Linked DNA regions of Caenorhabditis elegans. The gene in region 1 interacts genetically with each later gene. Each region holds a gene or a part of one and is shown on either strand. Other genes may lie near its edges.

Region 1 (5,065 bases):
TTGCCCTTCTCAACCTAGTGCGAATTGTTCTCTTGACGGCGGCAATAAACGGCAGGTAGTTTTGCATTTAAAATGAAACGAGGCACGATTTTTGTCGTTAACATAAGACCAAGATTTCAGTTCTATCAATAATAAAATCTAGTGTAAGGAATAAAAGTGAGGGAAATGACGGCGATTGGGAAAAGACTAACTAGTTCCATGCGATTACTGTTCGACATGGTAGAAGGCGTCGGCTTTTAAATGTATATACGATTTGATATTCGTATGGTGAAACCTAGAGGAATAGAAGGGAGAGACATGGTCATCGGCGGGAAAAGAGAAAGAATAGGGAAAACACGTCATGAAGTGTATATGATAAGACATTTGGGACGATTGGAGCAATATCAGAAACTTTATATGGACGTTAGTCATTTGGAATGTGACTTGTGAACGATAGTTTGAAATGTTGGTGTTGAATCACCTATTCTATAAACATTTTGAATATTTTTGGACAGCTAGCGCATGAATTGTGAAAAAAAAACAAAAACGCGTTGTTATAGAACTTGAAGCAAAACTAAATTGTACAATTATTAATAATTTTTAGTGTGAAATTGAGAATAAATCTGTCATGCGGAGGCAAAACAAAACGAGAGGCAGCTTATCTCACAAAAAACGTTTTCTATTCTTTCTCCGAAATTTGACACTGAATTCAGTTCATAAAAATCCTATTGACAATTAACGAACAAAATTATTTTTAGGGAAACATGGAAGAAACAATTGAAGAATAAAATAAATTATAGAATAGAGTGTTTCAAAGAGAACAGAGATCTTGTTTCACAGAACCATGCTATCGAAAATGAAAAAAAAATCGTAAAAGATCCAGAATACTGGCTTAGCAGCAAAGAAAAAGCCTTCACTTTTCGCGGCGATTTGTGGCGTCAAATCTGATGTCGGCTGTGCGGCTCGTCTCGACGCACAAATGCACACTTGTGTTTGCCGCCGTCTCTTCTTTTCGAATTTCGATTTTTCTCTCTTTTATCGTATTTATTTTTCTTTATTTTCTTCGTTAAATCAAACGTTTTTTTGTTTTAAAATTTGCTAAATGGTTCTCGCGGCTTAAATATGCATTATCAGTCGGAAAATCTCCAAGATGTTTCAGAGAATTGCTCCGATAGATAAATTTCGAAATTGTTCCTCTTTTTGAAAACTTAATTTTCGGTTCGGGAATTTTAAGAGAGTTTAGAGCATTCTAGTCTTTCTGTAAGATATCAAGTCAAATTTTGCTCGAGTGGCCTATTTGTAAGTAAAGAAGCAAATAAGGTGCGATCACAAAACTTTTTACTCATCTGTGCATAAGTTTTCGATCATTGTTGTAACATAGTTTTTCAATTCGATGTCAAATCAAGTATTACATTGGCGAGACAGTTCAGTAAATAATCTTTTATCTCTTTCAACAATAAAAATGGGCCACTCAGCGAGCAGATTATTTTAGTTACAATTAATTTTCGACTTGTTAGCAATCAAAATGGAAATAAAATTTCAATTGTTTTTTAAAGAAGCCCGTTGTTATATGAAAACATTTGCTTATCGTCTAATTGATTCTAGTTCAACTCATTCAGAAAGCTTAATCCAAGATCCGTGTTCCATCAGCCAACATGAACAGAAATCGTCGAGACGGACCACAGCGTGATGTTAAGCGAGAGCGTCGGAGCCGATCCAGAAGTCCAAGAAGAAGTATAGTTTTTGATATTCTTCATTCCCGTTTCCACCATTTTTTCCATAGAAATCCTTCTCTATTTTCCATTTCCTTAAGGTCGTATCGGCGCTGCTGTTGGAAGTAACAATGGGAACTCATCATCGAACAACCGAATGGTTTTTATCACCAATATCGCCTATGAGGCTCGTTGGGTCGATTTGAAAAGTCTAGTTCGCGAGAAAGGAGGTGAAGTCGCTTTCTGCGAGTTGCTCGAAGACCGTAACGGCAAGCCAAAGGGTAACGCTGTGGTTGAGTTCGAAACTCGTGAGGGTGCCGAAAAATGCGTTGAGAATCTACAAAAGTTCGACTGGAAGGGAAGAACCATCATCGCCAAAGAAATTCGGGTCCGTATCTATTTAATTTTGACACTCACATTCAGAAATTTTCATCCATTTTTTATTTTTTCTGTAGGATCCGAATGCTTTCTTCCGAACCATCAAAACTGAAACAGGCATTGATTACTTGTCTCGTACCGGAGGTGGTGGTGCAGGAGGACGAGGTCCTCCACCAAAAGATCTTGATCGCCCTACTCGAACTGGAACTTATGATTTATTCGGTCTCAATATGGAATTCCTTCGCCAACACAACATTGAACCGCCACTCTGTGAGCGCATCTTCATCGCCAATGTAGGTTTCAAATATTCTTCTTCTCGAAGGGCTCCACATCTAGACCACGTTCACTTGCTGGGTCTTTATCTCAGTTTTGAGATATGAAATTATTCGAATGGGAGAAATAAATGCAATTTTTCATTTTGGTGTTTTTAAACGGAATAGTAGTAGGAAGCTTTCTACGTGGAATTATATACAACAAAATGGAATCAGTGCTTATTATAGTTTGTTCAGACAGTTGCATCCTCCGGGTAGATCTCTCAGTATCATACGAATAAAATATAGCATCACTAATTCAGTTACTAAATACCATTCTTAGTTCCCAATCAGAGGTGGTTGGCAATTATTTTCGGAAATGCTACAAAATGACCTATTGCGACATGTTTTTTTCAAAAGTTTTCATCAAAAATTAGTCTGAAAATGTAGATAATCACTTGATTTATCTGAAAATTAAAAAAAAATTATCTCGTTTTAAACATTTGGAAAAGTGCGCGAAAATGACCAAAAGTTGCCATTTGCCGAGAAACGATAATTCAACAATTTGATGATCGGCAATTTGCAACATCCTGGTATTTTTGAAGCGCTTTTCCAAGTGTTTTATCTGAAATAAGTGTTATTTTCAGATTTAAAAAAGTGATTTTCTATATTTAACATGGCGAAATATGTCATTTTATAGAATTTCCGAAATTCCACTTCTGTTTCCAAGACAATATTATTAATCAAACATTTTCAGTTGGCTTTCAATGTCGGAACCGATAAGCTTTACGAAGTCTTCGGTATGGCCGGTAAAATCACCTGGATGGACTTCCGCATTGATAAAGAAGGAAAGTCAAAGGTTTGTTAATATTTATAGTTCCTATAAAATATAAATGGTGTCTTCCAGGGAGTATGCGTAATTCAATACACTCACCCAATTGAAGCCGTACAAGCCGTTTCGATGCTCAATGGTCAGCGACTTTTTGATCGAAATCTGGTTGTGAAAATGGATAGATTCGATAAGGAACTGGAGCACAAAGAAGGTGGACTTCCACGAGGTCTTGAGTCAATCGGAATGGGTCTTGGAGCAGAAGGAGCACCACTTTCCAATGTTCATGGAATGTTCCCAGGAGATGCTTCAGTGCCGGTAAGCGATTTAAAACAAATTTCATCGGTGTGGTATATACTAGCATTCAATGGTGGTTTTAGATTTTTTTAAATCGAAAAATTAATTTTTTTTAAACAGAAATTTTCGGGTTTCCAACATTTTGATTTTTCGAAAAATGGCCTTTTATAAGAAAACGATATGTTTTCTTATGTTTTTCCCCATCAACAATCTGAAAACTTAATACAAAAATGGGTTTTTATATTCCAATTTGCTAAACATGTTTTTCGATTTTCAGAACAAACGGAACTTTCTCTGAAAAAAGCACAAAAAATGTTCGATGAAACTCTTGATAACAAATACTCAATTATAAAATTTTTAAAAGTTAATTTAATTATCTATATTTCAGTTCACAGCTCCAGCTGCCCCATTCGTAGGTGGACCACAAGTTGTTTCGGCTGGTGGTTTTGGAGGAGTCGTTGAACAAGCCAACTTTGCCCGATCCGTCATGAACAATGGACCATTTGGAGGAAATGCTGGTGTTGGTGGTGCTGGTGGAGCCACATTTGCTCAACCTGACGTCTTTGGTGTCAATGGAGCTGGTGGACTCGCCGGTGCTGCGACACCCCAGGCAACAAGGGTTATTATCATTCGCAACGTAAGTTTTCAATTCAAATTTCAATTTGTTCTCATTTATGATCTGTTATTCAGCTTCCAAGCGATTATACCTGGCAAATTGTCCGTGACCGTGTTCGAAACTTCGGAGAAGTCGACTCTGTTGATATGATGGCGCCAGGAGCTGCTCGCATTCGTTTTGCAACTTTCCAAGACGCTGAACGTGCTCGTGCTGCCCTCTATGGATCCACTGTCGAAGGCCGCATGATCAGCGTTGACTACGCCTAATTCATTCCCCCTGTTATATTTGTATTTGAAACTTCTCACGTTTCTCTTGAATCATCATCTATTATCTTTATTTTATCCGTTTTTTCTCCATCTCTATCCTTCCTTATCCCTTTAAAAAGGCTTCCTTGTCAACGGAATCTCAATAATTTAAAACATCTTCCTCATTTTCATCACTCTAAAACTATTTCTCATATTTTCCTCTGGCAGGATGGTGACAAATAAAAGTTTTAATAATAAATGACGTGACAAGTGTGTCTTCAGATGAGCGCCGCACAATTTGAGGTGCTATTCAGAAGACAATTTAGCATGTGTGTCCCGCATCAAACAAGAGCTTCACGCAATCTGATTTGCGCGCGACAACTGCTGCTCAAACGTTTTACCGTATGCCCTTAATTGCGTTTTGAAGACGTCTCTCTCCTTCATGAGCAAAAGATAGTCACGCCCATGAAGAATCCTTTGTTGCTGAGAAAACGATGATGAGCATTGTGTGTGTCTATTTGTATGCTCACAACTTTCTTTCGTTTGTCTATGTTTTCATTTTTGACGCCTTTCTCTGGATTACGGTACCTTGAGGCTTTTGGAGAAGGATTCTGAATTCTGCTTTATAACGAGTACTGTTATATCAATTTTTTTAAAAATTAATTGTTTTTATTTCAAAACCGGCAATAAAAAATTTTGGCACCAAAAATACCGTTCCTGGTCTCGTCACGACAATTTTTTGTTAAATACAAACGGGT
Region 2 (6,160 bases), on another chromosome or scaffold:
CAGGAATTTAGACGCAGACATCTCGTCTGATTTCGCATGGAACGTGCTGACGTCACAATTTTTCTGGGAAAAAATTCCCGCATTTTTTGGAGATCAAACCGCTATGAGACAGCCTGACACCACGTGGGGTCATTTTTACAGGCTTTAGCATACGGTTACAGTGAAAATTATCCGAAAAATACTTATTTTGGACCCCAGTTCGTCCGTTCTTATTCCTTCTTCCGCTTTGCAAATATACACTCACTTTCGTTACATACTTCATTATCACTACTTACTATCGATAGTGCAGGTATTGCAATGGTTCTTCCACTATGATGAATCACTTCGTATTTTTGACAACTAAAATACGTACACTCCTTCTCGATAAGCAATGCCACACAATGTGTTGCGAACCTTGCAATAAAATCGATCCAATTAGAGAATCTGCTCTAGCAGCGTCCAATTGATCGATTGTAAAATTTGCAAGTCAAAAGCATATTGTGCATTGTCCCCTTCCACCAGCAGTCGTTCTTTCCTAAAAAGCCATAAATCGTCACATTATTCAGTTTGTTTGAAGGCAGTGTAACCACGGGAAACCGCGTATATGTCAACACTCGCACACAACGCCAACACAAGTAAAAATAATTAACGGTTGGCTTGTTTTTCGTTTTTCATTTTTCACCTGAAAGCTCTGCCACAGCTTTTTCGTTTTCACTTTGATAAGAGAGTCGGCTCACAAATTCCACCAGTTCTCATTAGACACATTGTCACCTTCTTTCTATGTGCGCTGAGCTCTTCAACTACTCTTAATCCTATTTCTCTCAGCTTATAAGTTATTGAGTTTTTTTTGTTAAGTATGTATTTTTTTTCTCCAAATTCACGTCTTCTTCTTCCTTATCGACATTTCGTGCCAGTAATTCCGAAAATGGGTCACCCACCGCGAAGATGAAAATCTTTAAAATGGAGATTTTGGTCGAGATATAAAGAAGGAATTGAATATATAGAACGTTCCTCCATTCGCAGAAATTATTTTCTATTGAACAGTGGTTTCATAGAATAGTTTGAGGATTGACTTTGCCAGATTTCATTCCTCGTGGGGTACTGTACCTCGTTATAAAGCAGAAAATTCGAAATTTTGTGCGAAGGTCTCAACACGACAAAGTTTTGGTAAAGGAAAAAAAAATGTGTGCGGCTTTAAAGATTACTGTAATTTTTAACTTTCGTTGATCTGGAATTTTCATCGATTTCCCAAAAGTATGTGTGTTCGTTTAAAGAATATAACACTAAAACACATACATTTTCCTGAAAAATCTATGAAAATTCTGCAACAATGAGAGTTTGAAGCTACAGTAATCTTTAAAGGCGCGCGTCTTTTTTCATGTCACAAAATGTTGTCGTGTCGAGACCTGCAGCTACTGTATTTTTGAAACTAAAAACGAAAAATGCCTATTAAACTTTTTTCTACACTTATTGCTGGAACTTTTTATCAGAATTTCTTTCTCACTCCAGAAAAAATTTAGTATTAGCAATTTCTCTGTCATCTTTTTTTCCAAATATTGCATTCAAATCTCCCGCCAAAAGCAATATTTGCACCGATCAATTTCATTTTGTAGCGTCCCAAAACGCCACGTTAATAAATACTATTTGGTTCTGCGTATTTTTTCTCCTCGAATGTATTCTCGTCTCCTATCTATTTCTCTCTCTCTCACTCTTTGCATTCTACTCACCATCCACGTTTACCACGTTATTTCTCTAAATTATTTCTCTTTTTCGTATGATTCTCTCGTTTTTATGTAATCTCTCTCTCTCTATCTATCCGTCTCGATGTGCTGTGCTGGGGATGGAAAGGCGACTGGCCGTCGTTGCTGTTAGTATTTTACTATCGCTGTGTGTGTGCGTGCCCCCAATTCCTCCCCAGTTTCAGAAGTATTCTCGCTATTAATTTCTTATTTTATATATATATATTGATACAGTGCATATATTTATTCCAGTGAACCTATAATAATAATGTATCACAATAACAACTATGGATATAACAATCATCGTGGCGGTGGAGGTTTCCGTCACAATAATTACAACAACAACAACAATAACCATCATCATCACTACAACAATTTGCCGAGAATCAATGAGACGCAAGTTCCTCAGTCGAAGCACACGATTTTTATTCGAGGACTTCATGGTGATATTTCGACGGAAGAGATCAAGTAGGCTATTTGTAGAGAGAAAATGTTTGATTGAAAGTTTTTTGCCAAGTTTTCTATTCAAAATCATTTCAGATATTTAAATTTCCAAATCAATAATCAGTATAATCATTATTATATTTCAGTCGGAAAAGAGAGTTCTATCCTACTATGTGTTGATTATTACCTACAGGGAGATTATTTTCCCACACACACACACACACACACACCCAACATTAATTCTAATTCATTCTAAAATAATTTGATGATGTCGCGCTGTGGGATACGGTCTTTTCTTTTGCAACGAATTTTGCAACAAATGATTTACAATTACAATTACAAGTCTCTAAAATTTTCCACCAGTTTTCACATTGTGAGTGTATTACATATCAATATATATATTCGAGTGTGTGACACCCCCCACCCATCTCTTTCTCTTTTTCCCCCGTCTCTTTTTTCTCAAATGGAATATATTTCTCATGCTTTTGAATTAACACCAAATGCACGAGCTATTCTATATTCAACATACCTAATTCATTTTCAGACTCCAAAAAAGTTGTGGCCCCCCACGAAATTGTGAAATTCTCCCACACTGCCCTTTTAATTATATGCCTGTTTTAGGGAATATATTGGCGAAAAAGTTGGAAAAATCTCGTTCGATTTCGTGAAAGTGGCTCAAGATAAGAGCAAGATATTCGTGGCTGTTCGATTTGAGAATCGTGATGAGGCTAAGGAGTTTATGGAGACGTAAGTGGATCAGGGATAGGCGGAAATTCTATAAAATGGCCTATTGCTCCATTTTTTTCTAGTTTCTCAGCTGAAAAGAATGGTGTTTTTAGATAAATTGTGTGAATTTATATATTTTGACACTATTTTTCAATAAAATATTGTAGAATTGCCGAAAATAAGAAATTCAAAGCAACCCTCTCCATTTTCAGATATTCGGATCGTGAATTCATGGGATGCCGTTGTGATCTCTCTTGGTTCCGTGATATACGTCGTTATTGTGCCTATCAGCGTGCCAAGCAGGTTCGAAGCAACAGTCAACGCCGCCGTCGTCGTTCTGATTCACAAGAGTCTTCGAAGAGATCTGCGTCGCCACCAGTGAGAAGAGGACGATCGAAGAGCCGATCTAGAAGCAGAAGTCCGTCGAGAAGCCGATCGAGAAGCCGCTCAAGAAGTGTGTCTAGATCAAAGTCGCCGGCATCTAGAAATGGAAGAGTCTCTCGGCATCGTAGTAGAAGTCAGAATCGATCGAGAAGCCGATCGAATACCAGAAGCCGGTCTCGTAGCTCGGGAAGATCGGGCAGTGCTCACTCGAGAAAATCGGATGATGTTGATTCGTTCGACGATGAATCGTTTGATGAGAAGTCTCGAGTCAAAGATAATGAAGCACGACAGAAGAGACGTAGAGAGTTGTCAGATGATGATCGGAAAGATGTACGAGAAACTCAACCAAAGAAGAGTGTGAAGGAAGAGCTTCCTCAAATCCCACTTCCACCGAAAACTGAAGCAGCAGCATCGCCATCTCCAGCTCCACCAACTCCAAAAGCTTCAAAATCTGCATCGTTCATTCCACCACCGACGGCAGATGATATGGAATTGGAAAGTCCTCCACATGTTTCCAATAATCAATATGAGTACCAGCAATCCAACAACACATATAATCAAATCAGAACTGGTGCAAGTCCAGTTTCAGTATCCTATTCAGTGCCAATGGAAGTTGAAGCAACTCCGAAGATGATTGTTAGAGAGAGTAAGAGGAGTCACTAAAGGAATTTCTCAAAAAAAGGGCTATTTCTTAACTCAAATCTGAAATTTCGCCGATTTTCAAGAGTCACAACGGCCGGAAATAGATTTTTATCTGTAAAATAAAACAATAATCGAACAAAAAAATGAATTTATAACCGCTGCGACCAGGGAAAATTGCCGAAAATTCAGGGTTTAGTTAAAATTGGCCCATTTTTTCGAAATTTTTGGAACCGCCATAAAAGCTTTTCTTGAAATTTTTCGATATCTATTTAGTGTCAATTTTTGAATTTTCAGCCCCACAACCTGCTCAACCGCCAGTTCAAGTCAATTCTTATTATACCACTACACCTATTCAGCAACAACAGCAACAACAGCAACCAATACCACCACAACTCCCTACAGCGTAAGTTCATTACCCAGACGCCAAATTTTTTGAGAGTTTTGCTCCAAAAATACGGTTCGTGGTCTCCAAGCGACAGTTTTTTTTTTTGATAAATACAAACAGGTATGCGCCTTTAAAGTGTACTGAAATATTTGTCGATTTTTTGTTGAAAATCATTTTTTATTTTAACAAATCGTGAGAAAAACAATTGAAAGCACTGCTAGGAAATTTAGAAGCTACAGTACTCTTTAAAGGTGCGCACCTGTTTGTAAGTATTTAACAAAAATTTTTCGTGTCGAGACCCGGTACCATATTCCCCGCGGGGCAAATTTTCACGTTTGTGTAATCCGTTTTAGTCCACCACAACCACCACCGACCACGCCCCAACCTGCGTTTGTGCCCCGTCAAATTGGCAGAATCGAAATAGTTATGCCTTCTTCTCTGCCGGCTCCAGTGGTTTCAGCTGCTGCTGCTTCTGCTTCTGCCGCTGCTCACCCAGTTGCTATGAATGGGTCTGCTATCAGTGGTGGTTCAAGTATGCCCGACATTACAATGCACCCCAACACGAATAAGTATGAATTTCGAAATTCCCTGAAAAACTAATATTTATTCTCTAATTTTTAATATTTCCCTCAAAAAATCAATGTTTTCCAGACTCTTTGGTCATCTCAAAGCCTTCCAATCTGCTCTCCTCTCCACTGTCAAGTATGAGCCGCCAGCGAGAAAGGAAGAAGACGAAGGTAACCATTGACAACCGGCGGGGGCTTTTTCGAAAAACAATATATAATTTCAGCTGGATTCTCTACTCTCCGTCTCTCATCACTAGCCACTGAAGATGACTCGGCGGACGAGGAGAAGGCGATGGTGAGGGAGTTGAAGCTTGCGAAGCTCAACGATGAGCAAATGATGCGTTTCCATATTAAGAAGAAGCAACTCGAATCGGTAAGTTTTCAAGTTACTCATTGACTAATTTGAGTCAAATTTTCTATTTTTCAGGCTTTTCGCAACGATTGTGAAACATATGCGGTCGTCACACGTGCTCTTCTCGCTAAAGACGAGTCTCTACAATTCGGACTGAAAATGGCATTGCTCGAGAATATGGAGGATTTGTACAAAAAGATGATGCAACGTGTCGATGATCAGCTCGATGCTCTGCTTGTGATGGCTTAAACTGGGATTTTTTCTTTAATCAATTATGTAAAAACATATATGCTTATTCTTCTCCAATTTTCAAATGGAAATGATCTCCCTTCATCAAATGTAATCCCATCCTATCCAAACTTTCTGATCGTGATAATAATTGTATTTCTGTAATGAAGTACTTCAAAAGGATAAAGTGATTTATAGATTTACGAAGCGGACTTTGTTTGGGAATTGTAAAGTTAAATACAAAGGAAATAGTGGGAAGAAATTTTGTTTTCGGGACGAAAATTGAAATTTAAAAAAAGGGTTCTCGGGGAATCACATGAGGATAGAGACTGGAAAAGAGAAAATACAATAAATTAAAATCGGTTGAAAATGAACATTGGACAGGAGAAACAAACGGAACGGGAATCGTTTTTTTTATAGAGGCGACAAAAAAGAGCAAAAGCAGCATCAGAAGCGTCAAATCAGAGTACTCAAAAGAAGGGAATGGATATTCAATTATTCCTGATCATTCAACGACAAGTGAGTGATGTTGGTGAAGTCGAATTCTTTGGTCGTTCCACGTTCGAACATGTTGAGCACGTCCTGAAAAATGAATAATTATAATTTCTTTCAAAAATTGTTTTAAATTCTTTAAATTACCTTGCAAGTGGTTTCAAAGTGAGTCGTAGCATCATAAGATTGAGAGATGAAGATCTGTGACTCAGATCCCAAGTCA

What was found. A genetic interaction does not mean that the proteins touch.
Region 2: changes in sup-46 (region 1) and melo-1 impair growth when combined (synthetic growth defect), as found in Caenorhabditis elegans (one study listed by BioGRID).

What each region holds. Positions count from the first base shown.
Region 1 is NC_003279.8:10,169,137-10,174,201, reverse strand, and holds sup-46 (RRM domain-containing protein), read left to right. Parts: upstream 1-1,598; 5' UTR 1,599-1,634; coding exon 1,635-1,713; intron 1,714-1,792; coding exon 1,793-2,079; intron 2,080-2,146; coding exon 2,147-2,362; intron 2,363-3,077; coding exon 3,078-3,179; intron 3,180-3,227; coding exon 3,228-3,467; intron 3,468-3,834; coding exon 3,835-4,083; intron 4,084-4,136; coding exon 4,137-4,328; 3' UTR 4,329-4,563; downstream 4,564-5,065.
Region 2 is NC_003282.8:14,785,198-14,791,357, forward strand, and holds melo-1 (RRM domain-containing protein), read left to right. Parts: upstream 1-1,970; 5' UTR 1,971-1,986; coding exon 1,987-2,186; intron 2,187-2,308; coding exon of another isoform or gene 2,309-2,342; exon of another isoform or gene 2,343-2,783; coding exon 2,784-2,909; intron 2,910-3,100; coding exon 3,101-3,918; exon of another isoform or gene 3,919-4,208; coding exon 4,209-4,317; exon of another isoform or gene 4,318-4,652; coding exon 4,653-4,868; exon of another isoform or gene 4,869-4,950; coding exon 4,951-5,036; intron 5,037-5,089; coding exon 5,090-5,238; exon of another isoform or gene 5,239-5,292; coding exon 5,293-5,466; 3' UTR 5,467-5,646; downstream 5,647-6,160. Other genes in the region: gdi-1 (Rab GDP dissociation inhibitor), read right to left, coding at 5,941-6,027, 6,085-6,160.